Linked DNA regions of Struthio camelus. The protein of the gene in region 1 interacts with the protein of each later gene in a pairwise test. Links are inferred from orthologs where the notes say so. Each region holds a gene or a part of one and is shown in the gene's direction. Other genes may lie near its edges.

Region 1 (7,181 bases):
AGCTTTAAAGCAACACGATGAGGAGCTATTCCTCTCATGTACGTGGTGCCCAGTGCTACTAACCTTTTCTTCAACCTCTTGCTAATGAAGAACATGGCAATGGCCCCCAGGTACTTGGCAAAGAAACCTTCCACAGTGCCAAACTTCCCCTCACGGACAATGTAATCAAAAGATGCCAAGGCTTCCCTAGGTGTACGGTAAACATTGGGGGAGATGAGGTGAACAAGCCAATCGTCTGCCCATTTTCTCCACTTCATTTCTTCCCTGCAGGTATTCAAGAGAGATTTTTCAGTGAACGAGGTGCAGACCTGGGGCTACAGGAGGCAGCTACAAATCACAGCGGCATTCACAGGAGATTGAGCCAAGCACGAGTGTATCACAAGCTCCCGCCTCGTCTTCTGCTCCGGTGACCTCTCTGAAACGTACTCAGGAGCACTCTTTGGCAAAGCTACTCCAATCTCAAACTGAAACTAAGACTAAGATAGAGCACTAGCTTCTCTTCCCATTATGGAAAGTAGAGCAGCAAACCCATTCATGGGAAGCTAGCATTCCTCTGCAGCAGACAGAAAAGCCAAAGAAAGAAACTGGAGGAATCTTAGGAGCTAGACAGTCCAGGTCCCACCATCACGGTCATGCTAACACTATTGTTTCAATTTGCGTAAAAAACACATCTCCACTAGCTACCAAGCAGGGGAGAGGGGGTGTGGCAGGAGCTGTCAGTAGCAGCTCCAGCAGGATTATACGTACGTACCCTCCCTGAGGATATCTGGAGGAGGCTGTGACCCTACTTGGGAGACCCAGAAACTTAAGAGCACTTACACTCTCACTTCTTTCATGGGATAGACTTGCTTTGTCTCCGTTTCATCCAACATGAGCCAGTACTTATTCCCATACTCGAATGTCTCCTTGCCTTGCTCAGTCACAGTTTTCATAGGAGGATAAAAGGACACAATCTCTTCTAAGCTCTTCCTCCTGAGGACAGAAGCATAGTACCTGCTCTGGCTGCTACACAAATGTGCAAGAGCAAAGACATATCAAGAGAGATACACTTTAAAATGCATTATTCTAAAAAGAAGCACGAAGTACCAAATTCTATTTGAAATGCGTTTGAAAAGGACTCTGGAATACTTACTGGCAAATAACATTATTATTAGCGTACATTACATTTCTCTTTGTCAGATGGGACACAAGTGGAAGTTTCTGCAGGCATAAAGCCTCCTACGATTCTCTAATGTTTTGCAACTGGGGTGCAAGGACAGCGCGCAAGCACAGCAATTTGATGGCATTCTAGATGTTATAACTAGCCAAAGGCAAGTTTAGCTCTGGGACTAACCCTAGCCAAGGCTTAAGTAATCTTTCTGCAAAGAGAATCTCACAGATGAAAGAGAGTTCTGAAAGGTAAAAGCTGAGCTTTAACACACACACCAACATATACGTGGGTTGTCCGCACCGTCATAGGCTGGGGATCAGGTCAACTGATCCAAACACCCAAAGCTTCAAACGCTAAGATCAGTAGGATACTAATGAGCTAATTGCTGAGCGTGTTCTAAATCTCCAGTTTGCTAGGGCCATTCAGATTCAACTCTTCTCCCATCAACCTGTTTTCTTACTTGGAAATAAGATAGGTCTTTATTGCACTGATGATCACTGAAGAATCGTTCAATTGCTGAAAAACAGAATTAAGACAAATTTTAAAAATAATTCTTGGTGAAATTGAAAAGGAAAGTTCTTCGGAGTCTTTACCCCAGCATTCTGAGGCTCCAAGTTAATACTGTAGTCCCTTCGTCCCCAAGCATTTCCACAGGTAGTCCTACCATTGCGCTCCCTTCTGCGATTATCACTTCTGAGTCTGTCTTTCATTCTGACAACAGGGGACCTGAGGGCAGGTATCCAGGCAACACTAGCAGGTTTGGGGTTTTAGCTCTTGGCAGCAAAGGAGGGAAAGCAACGCTGGGGGCACACGGACACACATACACACACTTAAGTCTTCAGTTTTCTTTAGACCTCATCCTTTTCCCACAGGATCTAAGCAGCTCCCATTACCCTCTGGTACCAAAAAAAAAAAAAAAAAAGAAAGTGGGTCCTGCATAAGGGCTATCGGGAGCTACATAATCACTGGATTATAGAGTCATTACACAAAACAACAGGTCTTGGAAAAAGAGAGACAAAAAACTCTAATAAGGCCAAGCAACAAGAGATCACGAAGCAAGGAACAAATCTTAGGCTCCTGAGAGAATAAAAGATGATACTGTATGCGACAAATGAGAAGCATAAATCTCCAAACCGTTGCTAGTGGGGAAAACGAAGCAAGCTTTCAAAACAGTTGAAACCATTTCCCAACTTACCAGAGGGCTTCCAGCATTGGCTAGCAGGATGGGCACCTTTCTGTAGGAAGAGAATTTGATCTCTTTCCTCATTATTGGGTTCACTTCCACAATTTCATAGGGCAACCCATGATAATCAAGAAAAGCTCGGACTTTGCTGCAGAAAGGACATGTTTTATACTGGTAGAGGGTGAGCTGCAGGCTCCCTTCAGGCAGCTAGGGAAGGAAGAGAGCAGAAGTTTGTATTTCCTACTAAAAATCTGAATATGCTATCTTCTTTCCACCTTTATATTAAAATTGTAGCTGTTGACGTTCAGTTTCAACATCTGATCATCAAAATATCCTGGCTAACGGATGCTTTCTTCAAATAGCATTACAAACATTCACCTCCTATTGGGACCAAATACCTGTTTTTCAAAATATTTATTTAGCCTGCTGAAACTCCCAGTCATAGCAAAAAGGCAGTTAAAAATCTGACGCTTTGAACCCTTTACAAACAGTTCTGAAACTAAAGAAAAACACAACAGTATTTTAACAGCATTTAAACCAAACCAAAACACTTCTCTAAAATAGCAGTTTTACCCACCACTCTCTCTGAAGCCTACCGAGTGGGGGAGAATGGAAAGAGACGCTCTGTTCATCACGCTACAGAGAGCCGCAGCGGTACCCCACAGCACAGTTGATTACAGAAACACGGTGCTAAAAACCTGCCAGAAAATAATGACTTCAGGCGTGCAACTGCCGAAGCTCAGATTCCTGGGAATAACCAACCTGTGCTTAGGTGGGGACAGGGAGAACCGGGGGTAGGACAAACAGCAAAGCATCAGGCCAGGGATGCTTCGCAGCAACACCGCGGTACTCCAGCGGTCTGACCGCCTGCGCTCACTGCGGCATGCGTTACGGAGCACACGCAGCCATCTCACCTTGCTTCTCGTGTGTAATTGGTTTGGTTACACAACCCTCCATGGGTGCCGGACAAAAAAAAAAAAAAAACACCAGCTAAGAGGCAACACTCCACCTCCCCCCAAGCTCTCCCTTTCTAACAAGGGCTCCCTACAGCTCCTCACTGAGGATAAGGCCGCTCTTTCCTTATTTTAAGCCCTCTCCTCGCAGACGCTAGAGCGGCAGCGGGGCGCTGGGGCGGCAGAGCCAGCGGGAGCTGCCTCGCGCCTCCCCCGAGCCCGTCTCCGGAGGGGACCCCCCCCGCCTGGGGCCTCGCAGCCAGCCCGGGGCCAGGGAAGGGCGGGCGCCGGGGGCGACAAAACGGGGCCCGGCGGCGGCGCGTTACCTCAGCGGCCGAGTGCTCCCGCAGGCCCTGCCGCGCCACCTGGTAGAGGCCGGCGCCGCCGCCCAGCGCGAAGGCAGCGCCCAGCAGCAGGCGGCCGCGGCCGCCCGGCCCGCCGCCGCCCCCCGCGGCGCCGTAAGCGCGGCGCGGAGCCCGCAGCCGCCAGGGGGGCGGCGGCAGCAGCGCCGCGACCCGCAAAGCCCTGCCGGCAGCGGCGGCCATGTTCCCGGCGCGGGCGGGCGCAGTGGGGGGGGGGGGGGGGCCTTAAAGGGACCGCGCCGCCGCGGGGAGGGGACGGCCGCACCCCCCTCACCCCCCCCCGCTCCGGCCCTCCAAAATGGCGGACGGGGCTTCGCGCTGAGGGAATGAATACAGCAACATCCCTCCCTCGTGGAGTGCTGTAAAACCCACGCGCGGGGCGCTGTCCTAGGGAGCTTCTGCGGCGACAGGGCCAACGGCTCTACGCGCCCAATCTTCCTGACGGTCGCGCTCGCTTCCCCCGCTTAGGGCAGGGCGTAACGCGGGGTCCAGCTCAGCAGCACGTAGCTGCGTTACGCTGAAGACGGGACGCGAGGCGGCTGCACCGTTAAATCAGGACGTGACCTTTCCTTTCTGCTGCGCCCCAAATACCCACTGCGTTACGGGGCCCTCAAACCAGCTTTGCCTCAGGCGCACTGCTCGACTGAGTGCTCTAATTGCAAGTTATTTTCATCCCGGAGACAGCTCCCCGAGGACGAAAAAATCACGCAGCGATCAGATACCCTCGGGTGGGGCTAACGATAAGGAAAGGCAACGAAAATTGCGCTTATTCTCTCGGGGAAGAGAAGGTTTCAGCGAGGGGCGGCTCCTCACAGGGCAGGGGGGCCGCCCCCGCGCAGGCCTGCGCCCGCGGCACTAAAAGCCATCCCGGAGGACGAGCGCGGACGGTGCCCCCGCTGTGCCGGGTATCCGCCGCGGCGGGGCGGGCCGAGTCAGCACACAGCTTCGCTTTTGGGGAAAGCACCCCGGAAAGGGCGGCTGCGGGGCTGCGCCGCGGCGCGCCTCTCCCCGCCCGCCCGCGGACCGCCCGCCGCGCGCCCTGCCGCTAACCACAAGCTTTAGCCCAGCGCCGGGCGGCCGGGCTGCGTGACGAGCGGCGGCGCGGAGCTCTCCCATTGGCCAGCGCTCCGGCGCCCCGCCGAGCTCAGCGGGCGCTCCGCCCCCGGCGTTCCAGCGCGTTCCAACGCGCGGTCCCGACGTTCCAGCGCGTTCCAACGCGTTCCAACGCGCGGTCCCGACGTTCCAGCGCGTTCCAGCGCGTTCCAACGCGGTAGTGGCGCGCTCCCGCGCGTTCCAACGCGGTGCCCGGGGGTTCCGACGCGCCTTCTCGGCGTTGCAGCACCATGTCGGGGCCTAACGGGGAGCCGCACGTGGCGGCGGGCGCCGCCGGGCAGGACGACGAGGACGGGGACAGCTTCGGGGAGGAAGGTGCGTGAGGGCCGCGGTGTCCTGCCTCGCTGCCCGGCCGGGCCGGGACCGGGGCTGGGCCGCCCTGCCTGGCTTTGCGCCTGAGGAGGCCGCGTCTCCTCCGCAGCGCCCGGCCCCGTGGCGCTCCTCGCGGTGGTGTTTTTCCAGATTTATGGCTGCGCGTCGCTGCCTTGGGGATTAGCGCTTGTCTGTCAGCTCTGTTTCTTAGTTTTTGGAAGCCAGACCTAGCGCTTCTCAGGACTCGTCCTGTGACCTCAGCAGCTGCACGCGCAAAGGCGGAGGAGATGGTTCCTTCCCCTCAGTGTGGCACGGCAGCTCCTATAGATTGCTTTTTTTTTTCCCCCCGTGTGAAAAGAAGATTATTCAGTGCTTTTGCTAGCGTACAGGCTGTGATGACCGTGTTCAGCTTTTGAACCCGCAGGAGAGACCGCTTGGGCAGAGCTGGATGAAATAGTCAAGGATGGAAAAACTGTGTTTAATGCAATCAGCTTGGCAAATTCCACTTTCAGTCATTTCTGCAATGCCTAGGTATGAAATTTTTGATACTGCCGTGGCCGGTTAGACCAAAAAAAAAAAAACTTTTGGAGGAAATGAGAAAATAGCAGAGCTCAAAGGGGTATGTATGGGTCATTCTTAACATTGGAAATCTTTTGAAGCGTAAGCACATAGCTACTCTCCTCTTGAAAGTGGGGAAGAGCGGAGCTTTGCTTTCCCTTTCTCAAAAGACCACTGAGTTTCCAGCAAGCACAGACCTGACCTGTGTAGGTGAATCTCGTCTTTCTGGCTGATCGTCCCAGTGACAGAAGGATCGTTTCTGTTGCTGCAGTACCCCAGGAGCAGTCACGGCACTGCGTTATCCAACGGTGATTTGCGCTTCCTACTTTTTGAAGAGCTAAGAGATGCAGTGGAGGCGATGGAGAAAGTCGCTAAATCAAGTCTCCGCATTAGGCTGGTCTATTTGTAATTAGCAGAGGGTTTGTGCGCGCTCTCTAGTTGTAATGATCTGTAGATATTTCCTGGTTTAGTTGAGGTGAAACTGTGGATCGCTTCTTTGATCTCAAGCAGGAGACCTTATTTCATGGCAACTGTTACCATAAGAATGCAGAGAAGCAAAAAATGTGATTGCCCCGCTCCTGGTGAACATCTCCATTGGGAGAAGTAGTTAAGTGTCTGCAAAAATACACGAAGCTTGCAACTAGCAGAAGACAATCAAATTAACTGTTTTTACAGCTTATTTTAAAATAGTTAAAATTTTTCCGCTTCCCAAAGCTGCACGGTTTTTATAGCTTTTTTTTTTTTTTTTTTTTGAGCATTGGGCACCAGAACAATTAGGCTTCTGTGATTAGAGTTCTTGACCTAGTTGATGAATAATGTTATTTTCTTGTCAGAAGTAGTCATCGTATCTGCTTGAGATCTTCTCACCGTTTAACTGGAACATGCTGCATCACACATAGAACAAATACTATGCTAAAGGAGCGCTGTAACTCCTGGACATTCTGGTATCATATACTGTGAAGCAGAGTTTACAAAATATTGATGACTGCCCCTTTTTTGGAAAGAATTTGTGTTTGTGAAATTCGTTTTTAAATGGAAGGACATCAGCTGTGCTCTTGCTCGTAATACCACCTCTGCATATACCTGCAAGGCCAAAATTTTCTCTTATAAACATGCTTAAGTGCCACATATGCACTTCTCCAAGCAATTAAAGGCTGCAGCACTGCTCTGAATGGCTCCATCAAAGTAGCATAAGAAAAGGAGGACAATTCTCTTACAATGAAACTCATCCTCCACTATTAGTAATGCAAATAACTGTAATACTTCAGTATTCACAGTTATTTTTAAAATAGTTGTACTGTAAACTGTGGAAATAACTTCTCTCAAAGAGCATCCAGCTCTACCACTGACCTCTGCTCTCCTTGACCTGTTCCCAGGGTCATTCGGCCTTGGGAAGATGCTTTTTGAAAGCAGCACAGACTGCTGATTATTCACTAGAGGCAAATCACGCCCAGTAAAATCCTGCCAGGTCCCCTTACCTATCTCAAGATCTGGCCTCTTGAGAACTAATGTCAGTGTGTGTGTGCGCTTGGTGTGAGACCAGTTAGAAA
Region 2 (7,198 bases), on another chromosome or scaffold:
TACACTTAATCCCATTCAAGATTTCTAGAGATCATTAGATCTTATCTAATGACAAGATCATTAAAATTCATCTCAAACTTTAAAACTGTTACAGCTTTTGGATGAGAGGACTTACTACTTCAGAAGACACTCAGCATAACTGACATCTTATTGATATCTCTGGCTTCCAATTTAAAATTCAGTTCAAACCAACAAAAGTAACAAGCCATCAGAAAACTGAAACTTAGAAAATGATTCAACTTATTCATTGTCCACAACAGAATCTTACTGCATTCTAAAGACTTAACTTTATCATTCTCATACACTGAAAATATTCTCATTCTCAATTTTATTAAATATTCACAGATATTAAAAAAATGCCTTACACTTTCAGTCATACCAAAGCTTCATTACAAGACAACAGCATTTTCAACCACAATCAAACTGCAACTGTTCTCTATAGACAATGTAAGCAATAGTGTGGCCAGTCTGCAAAACTCCATAGGCTCACTTTGATGAAGAGTGCCTTGCATGTGCAATGTGAAGCATAATTATTATCTCAAGGAGCCTAATTCTGTGTTATATTAATGAGGCAGCTGGCAATGAAAAAACAAGCAATTTGCACAGGGATCAGGTAGCCTCTCAAAAACCTTTGTAAACATAATAATGATCATTTGTGTACATACCTAATCATAACATGTGGATTCCCCACTCTCTCGCTTGGAGTTCTAAGCCAGCATAAGACACAGACATACATGGAAGAGATCTGCAGAACTGGACTTGCATCTCAGTTACTCTGGAGACATGTACTTTGATAATAACTGAGGCTCCCTAACTAATTGAAATGTATTTACAGCTCACACAGAAAAGTGACTCAAACTATGAAAGGTGTGTGTGGGGGGGGGGGAACAAAGAAGGCTGAATTGGTGAATACCAGACATATACGATAGGTTGCCAAAGCTAGCAGTTTAGTCACTTTAAAAAGTTATTTTAATCCAGCACCTGAAGCTGTAGCCTCACTTGTCTTGCCTTCTTGGTCCCCTTTCTATAATTATTTCATTTTTGTTAAACCAAATATTCTGTCTGCTGACTTAGTATCACTGTTTAATGATAGAAAGAGATCATATACTGTATTTCTGTTTGTTCTGTTGTCCCTTTTCAAAACAGCCTTTAAACTTATCTTCTCCTAAAAATGCTGTCCCAAGGCTCAACTTCAGTTTGAAGCACTTTAGATCCACAGTTGAGGTTTAAATGATTGGGTTAGAATAGCATATGGCAGGCAGTATTTGGGAAGACAGAAGGAGGAAGAACACAAAACATGCCTGTACTCCCCTTCCTCTGGCTGGGACCCTAGACTAGAAAAAAATTAACAGAAGTTTTAATGGAGCAACCTCCTTCTGCAAATACCACAGGATCAAGGGGAAGTGGGACTAATCTGCATAATTTTCTAATCCCCATAAGGGGGATACATTACACTCTCAAAGCCTCCAGCTTTCTCTTTGCACAGTTTATTAAGTATCAACTAGTTAAGGAACGCCAATTCTGACTCGGAGTCAGAACATGTGGTGCAGGAAGGAGGAGAAGTTTCAGAGTGGGGATGACTGTGAAGTTTGCTGGCAATCAGCCAGCTGAACCAGAACTCAGACATTTTAGGTACCCTGGTATAAACAAGTATCAAAACATATACAGTGTAAAAATGGATAATAAGAAGATACTGCATTGTTTAGTTTCAATTTGTTCAATACACTTGATGTAACAATCAGCTGAAATACAAACTACACAAGAATAATACATATCTTAAAATAATTAACTCTTACAGGACTTAATAACTCATTAGGTCTGCCTTTAAATTTTTTTTGCTACTAAGCTATACATTTAAAAAGTAACAAAAGAATACCTTCTATATTCAGAATAACTGCAAGAATATAATGCAATGTTTCCTCCTAAGACACAGATGCAAAATATCACATCTCTAAAATAATGCTAATCAAACAGATCAACACCCTCAATGCTTCAGAAATACAATACTATTAACTGCATGTTCATTAACTCCATAGATCAGAGTATGCTACATGGGTAGCATAGGCTGAAAAGGCAGCCTTTAGACTCTGCTATGCATGTCCTTATTTAGTATGCTTGGACCACATGTGCCTCTTCCGTAAATAACATTTTATTAGATCTGTAATACTGCAGTTTTTGTATTAGCTTTTTGAAACAGCATACTATATCAAAACTGTGGTTTAATACAGATGCCCAACTCCTGTATCAGGGTAGGTCAAGCTGCCTATGATACAACTTAAATGTGTTCTGGCTCCAGATCTACAAGCATGCATTCTCACCAAAAGAAGATGCACTTATAAAACTCTTACCACATGATTAAGTGTGAGGCATAACAAAAAAAAAAATCCACTTTCTCAAAGCCATTCTGTATTTTGTATATTTCCCCTTTTAATGTAGGATTACTACTTCCATTCTTTCCATTCTATTTTCATTTTTTAAAGTTATCATGCCTACTTCAAAAATCCCCTTTAGCTCTACAGCAATCCTCTTGACTATCTATACTACACAATTGTGAACTAGATGTGGTTGCACTACAAGTACATGTAGTAGCTTTTTTGTTTTTTTGATTCTGTAACACGACAACACAAACATAAATGCTAAACCTCATCCTGCAGCAAGTCCACATAACTCTGTGCCAAACTTATTCTCTTTGGATCACCTCCACCTATAAAGCTCCTCCAACTAAAGAAATCATTGATTTACACTTAATAACGATGAATTTTGTTTTTAGTCACATTACCTATTCATGAAATATAGTCCTGTCTCTCTTTTCCTGCCCTAATTACAAAGTTTCCTTTTCTTCCCCACTACAGAGCTATAAGTAACCAGCCTCTGTCAAAGGTATAAAAGCCTTTACCTTCATTCAAGAATTAGAGTTAAAATGTTACTGGAACAAGTTACATAACTGTAAGGAGTGCCAAGCGTCTTGAGTTGTGTCAGCCTTCATTAAATATAAACACTGATTAAGAGATAGCAAAGAAAAAGAAATCATGAAGCTAGAGAAAGCCTAATATCAAGAAAGTCAGAAAACTACATTAGGATCACCCCTCTCCATCAGTACAGAGAGCCAACAAAAAGATCTTGAGCTTTCAGCACTCCTGCTGAATGAATACAAAGACATAAACACAATTCCAATGGTTGCTGTTTTCCCCCTTTTTATTTGAAAACGTACGTTCGTGCCCAGTTAGCTAAAACGCAGGATCCCAAACCTTTGGGGCCATCCGACACTACCAACGCTCACGGGGCCTTGCAGACCACCGGCAGAGTCAAGAGACCTAACCAGTCTATAGGTGCGATCCTTCCCGTATTGCTCTGCAAACTATCCTTTGAGGAGAGATTGTTATATACTTACTCACACACATATACACAGATAGAGAGACTTGGAGAGTGCCGCAGCCCCTGCTTATTTATACACATATACACAGATAGAGGGACTTGGGCAGTGCCGCAGCCCCGCAGCCAGCCACCCCTGCGGGAAGGCCCACACTGCCTGCAGCAACAGGGGGAGGCCGGGGGTAGGGGCCTGGGGGAGGGGGGGCAGGGCAAACGGCCGCCGCTGGGCACGAAGGCGCCGGTGCCTCCGTGAGGAAAGAAGCGGGCTGAGCCGCAGCGCGGGGCCCACTGCCCGCCCCCGGAGCCGGCTGCGCGACCGAGGCCCCGAGGCGGCACCGGAGCCCGGGCCTCCGCGGCCGGGTGCGGAGTGGGCGCGGATGAGGCCCGTGCCGCCCGGCCAGGGCAGAGAGGACACCTACCCCCACCGCGGAGGACGACCGCGGGCAGCATCAGCTCCGTCGGACCCCTCCCCGGTGCCCCCTGCGGAAGGAGGGCCCCCCACGCCGCCGCTCCCCACCTTACCTGAGGCCGCGGACGAAGCGCCCTCGCCACCGCCCACACCCCGGTGCGCATCCGCCCGCCCTCCGCCGCCGCCGCCGCCACCGCCACAGACGCCCCGCCGCACTGCGCACGCGCACACCGCCCCGCGACGGCCGGCGGCAACCCCTGCCCCGCAAGGGCTGTCGGGAAACCGCTCAGTCAGTGGCTGGACGTCCTCAAGGTGTGCCGGGATCTGTAGTCCCGGCGGAGGCGCACGGCATGCTGGGACACGTAGTCCGCCATCAGCAGCGGGAGGTTGCCGCCTGCCGCCGTGGTGAATCGCGTGTCCGGGCGGGATGGCTCCCCACCCCGTCCCGCTTTCCCGCCCTGCCCCCGTTTCCGCACCCGCGGGGGTCGCGCCGCTCCGCGATGCTGAGCATCGGTGGTGCTCAGCTTGCATTGTGGGGCTTGTAGTACCGCGGGAGGCCTGGCCCGCCCCCGAGTCCACGAGGATCCGGGTCGCCGGGAGCGGAGCCGGCGGGAGTGTTTGATGGCGTCGCCTAGCAGCGGCCTCTGCCGCCATCGTGGCCCTCGGGGAGCGGTGAGGTCGTGAGTGGGAGGCGACGCTGCGCTGCGGGAAGGGGCCGAGGTCCCGGGGCTCCGTCCTGTCGCCGCGCGGGACTGCCGGCTCTGCCCCGGGGGCGCCGTGGTCAGCGGGGAGCCGGGCCGCGGCTCACCTGTGCGGGGCGGCGGCGGCCGTTAGCGCCGTTACAAACGCGGCGCGTGCGGGGGTCGCTGCGGGGCGGTGCGCGTTTGCGCCCTGCTGCCTCCGCTTACAGCTGCGCGTCACCTCCGCCCCCGCCTGAAGGCGGACACGAAATAAGGTGGTTTGCCGCTCCGGAGGAGGCGGGCGAAGTGGAGGCGGAATTGTATCTCGGCAGCATCGCGGAGGAGTCGCGGTGTGTGTCTCGCTGTCACTCCCGGGGCCGCGATATACAGATTTGAAAGAAACGGGAAGCCTGCACGGGATCCCGTTTCGGGTGTGGCTTCGTGGTGCGGTGCAGCCCTGTGTGCTGCTAGTATAGGAGAGCTCGTTCTGGATAACCTAGTCTGTAGATCTAAGCTGGGATAATCCTCCTAGAGTAAATAACTAAGGATTTAGCAGAGTGTGTCTCCTGCACGACTGTGCTGCTTTTTAGTATTTAGTCTTGCTCAAGTGTACGTGGCTCTGTATTGCATGTTACGTGTGCCTTTATGGAAGAGGAATGGCTCCTCCTAATGCTGCTTAATTCACTGTGATGAAGATAGTGTATCGGCATGGTAGTTTAGCTGTCTTCTCTTCATGTGGCTTATTGTAGGCAGCACTGGGTGTTATAACTTGAACTTGCCCGCCACACTTCCCTTTTTATCTGCCTTACAGAACTCTCTAACATCAGAATGTTTTATATATGCTTGGTTCCCTAGCTAAGCCAAGAAAATCTTGTGTTAACTAAAGTCAAACTCATGTATATTTAACTGCTTTTACAGAACCGTGATCTCCTCTCCCCACCCAGATCTGTCAGCTAAAAGGCACACACTGTAGTGAGGGGAAGGCGTCAGCTAAATTTTAGGACGGAACACTTTTCAATTGAATAACTTATCTTTATTTTGTTGTCCTCAAGTATATACATAGTGTGGAATGTACTGTACGTTTAGGTTGTGCCCCCAAGAGCTTACTCTAGTTGTCCCCCAACAAGTTGGATTTTGTTTACATATATTATAGATAGATATATATCTATCTCTTTCAATACAATTTCAGATTGTTTTCTTAAAGACATTATTTAGTAAATAAATAAAAAGATTTTAAAGAGGGAAGATTGGATAACAGTGTCAGTAATAAGGTTGTAATAATGCTCTCAGAATAATTTTGACTGTCAGGCATTTCATATTCATAACTTCTGCCTCTCAATTGTTTTAAAAAAAGTGTTTAAAAGGAAAAAAAAAAACAAGTAAGTTAGTGAGGATCTTGAAATTAAGTAGCCTTCAGTTAACTGAAGAAGTAGGTGTGCCAAGATCAGTATGCTCTTTCTCTATTATTATATTTTTTAAATGAAAGACTATTAGAAGATGATTTTGTTCTCAGATTTTTGGGTACATATTTGTTATTGAAAGCCTTCCATTATGTTTGAAGAGATGAACTCAGAATTTAAGTATTAATTACTATTTTAAGTTAAATATTTCTCATTCACTGACTATGGTCCATATCCTTATGATGCTGTTAGCTCTTTTGTGCTCTCTGCCCTTTAGTCTTTTTCAGTCTTTTTATATTTGTGGTATGATATGGTCATTTCTTCTGTCTGCTCTAATAACGTTTTATCCTTATGAATATGTCTTCTCTTCATTGCATCTGCTGAACTGACATTTTGAATGTCTCCTGCATGTGATTTTCTGGTATTTTCCTTTGTCCTCTAGGAAAATCAGAAAAGCAAAATTTGTATATGATATTGTTAGGAAGCCATGGATTATATAGAATGCATGTTTTCTAAAACATTTAGTAAAAACTAAAGAAACAATAAATACAGAGAGAGCTGTCAAGTAGCATGCATCAAAGCAGATGAGAAGAGTTTGATTTTTATCCTCACTTATGTGTACACTAGGAGTTCAGAGTTTTCCAGTTCTTTCAGATTACATAGGCATATTTCCTGGGAAAATAGTATCACTTTCATTAAGGAAGGAACTTTCAGTTGTTGAGTCTTCAAACTGCTGAATGTGAACAGGGTGAATGATGAACAGATATCAAAATACTATACTCAATCTACAGCTTTGCTGTAGTTCTGAGAGAAGTCCCCCCCCCCCATCATAAAATACCTATCCCACTTGTGTTATTAGTTTACTTAGTATTAATGAACTAAACATTCTTGTTAATTTTATGTCTCTCTTAACTTTCTGAACCGTTAAAAGACGGATTTTTAATTTAGGGCAATATGTAAGTAGACTAAAAATATTCCTTTTAAACTTGGCAGAATTCAGCTTTCGACATATTGCTGATATGGCGGTAGGAACAGCTCTGGAGAATGTAGTAATCCAAGACTTCCATTCTCTTTTGCCTTTTTCAGGTACTCCAGGCCTATGGGAAGTCACTGTGACCCGCAGCAACTATCAGGTAAACTGTAAAACAAAACTTTGCACCGCTTCCAGATTAGATTTTCATCAGTTTCCAGATGGTTCACTGTACTTTTGTGGTTCAGGTACTCTAATCAGAAGGAAAGGATATTTAATACAAGAATTCAATGTCTTACAAATGAATTTCAACAAATGGATATGAATAGTATCAAACTAAAGCAAGTGCTGTGCTTTAAACATAAGA
Region 3 (7,851 bases), on another chromosome or scaffold:
GTCAACTTGTGACAGCCTTTAGAAAAGAAAAATTCAGCTGGTAGCAGTGGAAGAATGACAGCTGTGGACATAAATATCTTCAGGCACAGAACTAGATCTGAATGAGAGTATCTGCCTGGGACTACAAACAGGCAAATTCTGACAGAGAAACCAAGGCCAGCGCCTCTTCTTTTCTGACAAAAGTCACTTGAACAGTTAGAGAAACCTACAGTGAGCAACTGGAGGGCTGAAATAAAAGTTTGCTAGGCTTAATTGATCAGTACACGCTACATACTGACTTTGCATTATGATGAACCTAGTCCAGGAAGTACTTCTCTGCAACTATGAAGGGAATTCCCAGAAGTAAAAAAGCATCCTTACGAGACTGCATGCTTGAATGCATCATAAGCACCATATCCTGGTCTTTTGTACTTGTCATCAAATACCCAGGCAGTTCTCTGGAACAGACTCTCAAGCTGCTCGTCCTTAGTGTATTCCAAGACCTCAGCAACATGGCGAAGAATGCTGTAAACCTTGAACATAAACAAATTTTTAAAAAGGGGGGGGAGGGGAAGAAATGAGGATGTCTTGTTCCAACTGCAAATTCACACAATGAGTGACTCTTACTATGAGCTTGTACAGCACGCAATTGAGTCCTTCAGATTAAAAGTCCGCAATCAAAATTGTTGCTACAAATAGACAACAAAAACAAATGAAAAAAAAAATCCAACAGATCAATGAAAAATTGCTTTGATTCCAAACGCTGCAGGATGCTGCAATATAATATCCCTCTATAATTAGCAATAAATTACATACAAAACTCTAGGAGCGTATAAAGTATCAAACACAACTGCATTAACCTGAACCTTTACTACATGTTATGAAAATAAAATTACTCTCTCAAGGAAAATGAAACAGAAAATTCTACTGAACTGTTAAACATACAGTATTTTATTGTATGGAAAGAAAAAAGTTAGAATCGAAGTAATACTCAATGGCAAAAAATTCACTCAGAAGCATAAGAGCACACTGACTGCAAGTCTTTTCAATGAAATTTGTCCACAGCGTGCTAAACCAGGTTTTTTTTTTTTTTGCATCTCTGATCATTAAAATATCACCCTTTACATCATAAGTTTTCAATTGACAACTCATCTATCCATTAAACAAGAAGCAGCTTAGCAGAGCATTCACAGACAAATGAACTGACCATATATGTGCATGGGTAAATGAATATCAGAGCATTCCTGATGATATGAAAACAAATTATTGTTCTCATTTAACTTATGCCTATGCATTTTTGTTGTTCAGAAAAGCAACTGAGCAAACCACAGTGTCTGAAGATAGCAGAGCAACTTACAGTCTTCGATTTTGTGAATTTGTCTTCACATTTGATTGCTTCCTCTGGAGAAACTCTTCTTTTTGACAAGTCAATATAACCTATTAGAAGAAAAAAAAAAATTTGGAAAGTGTCAGGATTATGCAAACTTTACTCTTCAAGTAACAAAAAATACACCCCATGTTCAAAAGTCTAAATGCTTCAAGAAAAAAAAGCATAAAGAACAAGGATATAGATGTTAAAGATGGCACTGAACAGTATTGCTAAAAAATGACATCCTACATAGAAAATACATTAAAGAACTTCAAAGATTCAAGAGTTCAGAAGACAGGAATGGACAAAAGTTAAGGCTATATGTACAATCCCAACTTTTAACCTTCTACAGTATGCATATGGTACAATCGTTACATAACTGCCATCCATTTTATAGTCAGGGTTGATGCCTTAGGGCACAGGATGAACTGTGAGGTCTAAATGCTCATCATTTAGATTTTTTTTTTCACTACCACAGACAGGTCTAGTATCATTCTTCTCTCCAGTTAAGACTCAGAAAATAAACAGAGACTTCAAAAGAAAATCCCACTTCAATACCGTTTGTTGACTAAAACATTGAATTTAAGAGTTTGAGGACTCAAACAAATCTTTACTGGTGTGACTGATCTTCATCAACCTGATTCTCAAAGGACACACAGAACAATGCTCACAAACATCACGTGGCAGGATTGTGCTCTATTTTGTTTGAGTACCTTAAGCAAAAAAAATTCCCAGCCAAAAAAACCCAAAAACCTAAGCTGCCCAGTTTATTTGCGTTTATCTTTATGATTTCAAGTTTGATACTGCCCATAATATCCCAGAATACCTTTTTCTTTGTCAACCCTTATGACCACAACACACTCATTCCTCCCAATGCGGATGAGTTTGTTTATGGAACGGATACGTCTTCTGGATAGCTCACTAAGAAGGATCATGCCTTCAATGTTGTTGTATTCCAACAGGCTGACATAAGCTCCCATTTCAGCAATGGACCGAACGTTGACCATCACTACATCTTCCACTTCTGGAAATTTATGCTGGTAGAATCTACAGCTTAGTCCTGGCATTCTGTAATTTGCGCAAAAAGAAACAAAGATGACTTAGCTCATAGTACACCACTAACCTCTCCCACAAACGTAGTAAGAAGCAGCAAGGACTAGTAAGGATAAAGAGGAACACTGAACTCTGGAACAAGAAATTGCAAATTACTTTAGGAAAACATTTCCAGAATTAGGCTCTCATAAAATACTAAATTAATTTATCTTAGTATTTAGTATTATCACAGGCTTTGCTAAGATGATCATCTTTTGCATGAAGGTAAAAAACCTTGCTACCTAGTTATTATCCACTTCGACTGTCGTATGACATATATTGCACAATACAGAAGAGACTTCATGTGGTGAAAAGGAGGTACAGCACTCTTCATTCATCTAAATTCATAATATCATGTAAAATTATAAATCAGATTTCAACAACAGGAGCACACAGAAGAGAAGAGAACTGCAGCGATAACAAACATATCTGTAAGCGTATCATAAGACAGCATGTGAAATGTTGATAAAATAACAAGCAGAGCAAAGCTTCTGTAGTACTGAGAAAGAAGAGACCCCATCTATCTCTATACTCTAGAAAATGATATTTTAAACTCAACATAAAATATTTGGAATAATTCCGTACAGAGAGAGGAAGGCTTACAGCTCCAGAGGCCACTTTTCAGAAGTCAAAGGATGCAAGAACAGCAGAACACACGCAAAAAAGAAGGCTCATGCTTCATAAACGTGCAGCGATAAGAAGAAATGCACACTAATCCATGCAGTTTCATAGGAAACTGCTTCATTTTCCTGATGATGAGAGTAATCCACACATTCATCACTACTAATCAGGCTACCCCAACTCCTTTTGTCTATGCCTAGAAGTTTGATACAGAACTATAAGATCACTCTGGATGTAGCAGCCTGTAATACCAAGTCAAACATGTTACTTCCCTGAAAGATTTAATTGCCATTTCAAAGTTTCACGCCTGATCTTCACAGCAGTGCTAACGCACTGCATCAATACAAGAATATTAAAAAGAGTAAGACGGTGATGCCAACTGCTACACAAACACGGCCAAACAATTTTGAAGAAAGTGTCCATCTTTATTTTCATTCTTCACTAACTTTGAGAAAGGAGAAAATATAAACTAGTGAAGCAATTATGAAAACAGTCCTCTAAAGGTTTCACGTAACCATAAGTTCAACAAAGAATCCCAAGACTAAAAATACACATTTTACAATTTACCTTTCCAGTCTATTTAGTGCAATTCAGATTAATCCTGAATATCTATGTATGAGACACTGAATAAACACATAGCATAAAGCAACAACCCCCAACAATGGCGAGCAAGAACAGACAACTACAGCTCTGCACAGACAGCGTTTCACTGCTCTCTCCGTGGTCACAAGGCATTTATGCTGTCCTCCCATCGAAAGGGCCTCAGGGACAACACGCTACCTGCAGCCCCAAGACTGGGAATCATCTTTCCCAGACGCTGGAAATGAACGGGCAAGGATTTAAATCCACATTGCCACGAAACGACCACAGAGGCCTCTGTAAGAACTGGCAAAACCAGGCTAACTTCTGGCCAGAAACTCCTCCGCTGCGGCGTCGCTGCCACGACCCGGTGCCCAGGCCGGGGAGTCACAGCCCTGGGGGCAGCACAGGCGCCGAAGCGGGGACGGAAGCGGCCCCCGGGGCGGCCGAGAGCCCCCGCCGGGCGCAGGCGCGGACCCCTCCAGCAGGCCGACGGCAAGACGCGGGCAGGCCGCGGCCCGGCCCGACCCGGCCCGGAGAGTGCGGCCCCCCGGGCGGGCCGCTCGCAGCTGCGCGGCAGATGGCGGACGCGGCCCTCGGCGCCCCGGGCCCAGCCCTCCGCCACGCCGGTCCTCGCGAGGAGCCGGGCGGCGCGGCGCGGCGCCGGGGCCCAGGGCCGGAGCCTGAGTCGGCGGTAGGAGGCGAGCTGCGCCGGGACGGGCCGTTACCTGGCAACGGCCGGGGGGTCCCGCTGTCCGCTCGCGCTCCCGGATCCCGCGCTGGCCCGGCTCCTGCCTCAGCGTGCACCGGCCCCCGCCGCCCCGCCGCGCTCCTTCTCGCGAGACGGGCCGGCCCCGCCCCGCCGGATCATAGAGTCCCAGCGCCGAGGTGGGGGGACGAGGCGGACGGTGGGCGGGCGAGGGCGTAGCGCTCGCGCTGCACTAGAACGGTCTCGGAGCCTGCGGGACTCCGCGCGCTGAGAGCGAGGCGACCGCTTAAGAGCCGCAGAGTCAAGAACCTCCTGGGAGCACAAACAGGCCCAGGAACAAGTTACGTCTCTCTCCCTTCCCGCCCCCAGAGGGCGCCGTTGGCCCCGGGCGGGCACGTGACCGCAAGGAAGGGGCGGGGCCGGCGCCGGCCTGCGGGAGGGGGCGGGCTCTCCCATCCGGGTTTCTCCCGGCGCTTCCGGCCTGCTCGGGGCGGGGGCGCGGCCGCTGCGCCGGGGTCGCGTCACTCGGCGGGGGGGGGGGCGTCACGCGAGGGTGCGGCGCGGCGGCAGGAGCGGTCCCGCGGCGCTGCCCGCCCGCCCGCCGCCACCACCACCATGTCGGGCAAGGACCGCATCGAGATCTTCCCGTCGCGCATGTGAGCGAGCCTGCGCGCGGGCCGGGGCGGCGGGCGGCGCGGTCGGCGCCTCGCGGGCCGCGGCGGCTGCGGCCGCCCAGCCCGGGCCGGGCCGCGCTTGCGGCCCCGAGCAGAGCCGCGGGGCGGGGGGGGGGCCCGGCCCGGCCCGGCCCGGCCCGGCCCGGCCCAGCCGAGCTGCCGATGCCTCTGCGGGATCAGTTCCGCTTGTGGCATCCACCGGCGTTTCCCGTGCCGCAGGCTGCGCCCGCTGTCGCCGGCCCTCCTGCTGTGCGCCCCCAAGGGCAGTCTCGCTCTGTGTTTCGCGTGAAACCCCTTGCTAGGCAGTTGGAGACTGCAGCTTGATCTTCCCGTTAGTCTCTTTTTTCCAAGTTGCTCAATATTAGCTCTCTGGGCCATGCGAGGGCCATTGCAGGGGCCAGTACCAAGGGAGAAGCAGCTTCCCAGGGGCTTATTATACAGTAAGGCAAAGTTTGATTGCAAAAAAGACCAATTTGTAGAATCTGGGTTCAAGAAAAAAGACCGCAAATCAAACCGCATTTTCTCTTCTAAATAGTTGCCACTGATATAACTAATGTGGCAGCAACTGCATTCGAGAGGTTGGCTGTAAAGGGTTAAGAAAATACAGGAAGTCAAATGCAAAAAGTGCAGTGGACAGTCAAGTAATTTTCCAGATCCTGACAGCAGACTATTTGTCATGAAGTCAGGTGCCTTTTGACAAGGCTTGGGAAGAGGCCGACGTTGGAATGAATGCAAATGTTTAAAATTGACATGCTATTAAAATTGCTATTGTAACAGTGCTATTCATTTTCTCTTCAGAACTCCCTGGGATAGAAGGACTTTGCTTTAAAGTGGAAAGCTGTTTCAAATCTTGCATAAAAACTGGGTTGATGCCTGAGATATAGTCTTTATGAAAGATACCTTGCAGTGGTAGAGAACCTCACATGTAAAATAACAGTCCTTCCCTCATATGAGCTCAGGATGTATGAAATAACACCTTACATGGAAAAATTAATATATTACATGGTAAAGATTCTGTTTTGAATCTTGGATCAGAAATAAGCTGCTGTAGGTAGTAAGTCATTTGGTCTTGCATCTGCTGTTGACCGTCCTCTTTTCATTGAGTTTACACGTCCAAGGAAAAGACACTTCAGTTATTTTGGAAAGGCACCTGTGTTGTGGGCTGGTACCTCATTGTGGCAAGAAGGTGATGATGTACGAAGGCTTAATATTTACAAGCCTCTTCTTCAAAGGAGGTAATAGACCAATAATGCGGCTGATATTTTGATGGGGAAGTAAGTTAGGGCAGTAAAATAAAGATGGCCCCTCTCTGCCTCTGGAACAAATCTTTTTGTTAACTGACAGAGCAGAGTTTTCAAAATCCTTCTTTTTCTTTTTTCTTTCTTTTTTTCTTTTACTCTTTGGTCTTGCTGGTATGAACCTCTTCTGTACTGGACGTGATCCCTTGCAGAAACTGCTCTTATTGACAGTAAACAAGACTTTGTTTAACGCGTTCTCAGAGCCCGTGAAATCTTGCTTGAAGTAGAAACTGAGCCAGTCTCTGACAGGTAGCGAGCAGAGCAAGTGAGCTGGTTCAAGGTGGTGGCATTCCAGAACCAGTTCCAGTTTGTTATGAAAGTAAAGCTACCTTTTTATTCTTTGACCTTGTTTTTCATCATGAACATTCAGAAAGTACTCACTTTTTTTTTCCGGTTATAAGCGTCTTTTAGACATTAATGAAGCCACTCTTATAATATGCCTGTAAAGTGGGGGAAGTAATGGATTTCACAGTGTAGGTAGAATCTTAATTATACTTAATTTTTCCAAGGTCAGAGAGGAAGTGTGCAGGCTACTCCTTTCACAGAGCTGTCTTGAGTGTTGTCCTTTGTGTGTAGTAATTATGTGTACAAAGCAGTAGCTTAAGTTAGCAAAACTTGTGTTTTTTGTAGTATAGCTACTGTCATTTTAGTTAACCTAAATCAACAAATTGTGCAATTTAAACCATACTTCACAGGAGTAGAGGGAAACGGGGATCCTTCAGTTCCCAAATCTGTGTCAGAATGGTTCATTTGGAGTAGCTGTCATCAGGAAAAATGAAAACTCTTTATTTCCTATTATGAAGGGGCTGAAAAATAACTTGTCAATTTTCCATGCTATTCAGCTTTACAGATACTAACCTTGTAATCCTCATTGATGGAGAGGAGATAAGTTCCCTTGATTTCAAACAGAAAAAGAGAATTCTTTCCTGAATTGTCCAACCTGGTTTACTGCATTGATTTTGCTCGGTTGCTTCATAATTTCAGTCATGTCCGTGCCAGGAAACTTGTTATGACTTTTTCCTAATCCCTTTGGATGACACAGGGCCTTTTTGTTTCTTGGTCTGTTTAACAGGGCTCAGACCATCATGAAGGCTCGTTTGAAAGGAGCCCAAACAGGTCGTAACCTCTTGAAGAAAAAATCTGATGCTTTGACACTTCGATTCAGGCAGATCCTTAAGAAAATTATTGAGGTAGGTAAACTGGAATTTTCCTATATTTAGCTCACTCCATTTAAAAGTTCTCTGTTATATGTCAGTTGTACGTTCCCATCCTGCTAACTTCATAAGGTAAGCTAGAATGTAGTACAACTTTGTGTATAACCTGTGTTTTGTAAGTGAGGCTACTGAGGACAAATAAGCAGAAGTATGTTTTCCTGGCTGCGATGGTACTGAAAATCTGTAAGACTTAATATTCTTCCCCTCTTTCCAACTAGCGCTAGATTCTCTTATTTTATATCTAGAGTTTCCTACTGCCTGCTCTGCTACGTTACAGGGGGTTTGCTGTGACAGTGCTAAGTGCTGTAGGAGTGGA

Evidence for each region.
Region 2: the proteins of BBLN (region 1) and CEP290 interact in binary tests that used the Homo sapiens proteins (3 or more experiments, as listed by UniProt). The two-hybrid records come from large-scale screens. The link is inferred for Struthio camelus from reciprocal best matches to the Homo sapiens genes BBLN and CEP290.
Region 3: the proteins of BBLN (region 1) and ATP6V1D interact in binary tests that used the Homo sapiens proteins (3 or more experiments, as listed by UniProt). The two-hybrid records come from large-scale screens. The link is inferred for Struthio camelus from reciprocal best matches to the Homo sapiens genes BBLN and ATP6V1D.

The regions. Positions count from the first base shown.
Region 1 is NC_090961.1:7,400,766-7,407,946, forward strand, and holds the start of BBLN (bublin coiled-coil protein), read left to right. Parts: upstream 1-4,126; 5' UTR 4,127-4,991; coding exon 4,992-5,076; intron 5,077-7,181. Other genes in the region: PTGES2 (prostaglandin E synthase 2), read right to left, coding at 64-264, 820-972, 1,611-1,666, 2,346-2,540, 2,930-2,965. UniProt on the Homo sapiens protein: Essential for intermediate filament organization in intestinal cells, interacts with intermediate filament and regulates intestinal lumen morphology.
Region 2 is NC_090942.1:49,141,431-49,148,628, reverse strand, and holds the start of CEP290 (centrosomal protein of 290 kDa), read left to right. Parts: upstream 1-4,126; 5' UTR 4,127-4,453; exon of another isoform or gene 4,454-4,811; intron 4,812-6,947; 5' UTR 6,948-6,994; intron 6,995-7,198. UniProt on the Homo sapiens protein: Involved in early and late steps in cilia formation. Its association with CCP110 is required for inhibition of primary cilia formation by CCP110.
Region 3 is NC_090946.1:46,691,355-46,699,205, forward strand, and holds the start of ATP6V1D (V-type proton ATPase subunit D), read left to right. Parts: upstream 1-4,776; 5' UTR 4,777-4,964; coding exon 4,965-5,005; intron 5,006-5,821; exon of another isoform or gene 5,822-6,258; intron 6,259-7,393; coding exon 7,394-7,511; intron 7,512-7,851. Other genes in the region: EIF2S1 (eukaryotic translation initiation factor 2 subunit 1), read right to left, coding at 361-512, 1,337-1,416, 2,175-2,415. UniProt on the Homo sapiens protein: Subunit of the V1 complex of vacuolar(H+)-ATPase (V-ATPase), a multisubunit enzyme composed of a peripheral complex (V1) that hydrolyzes ATP and a membrane integral complex (V0) that translocates protons.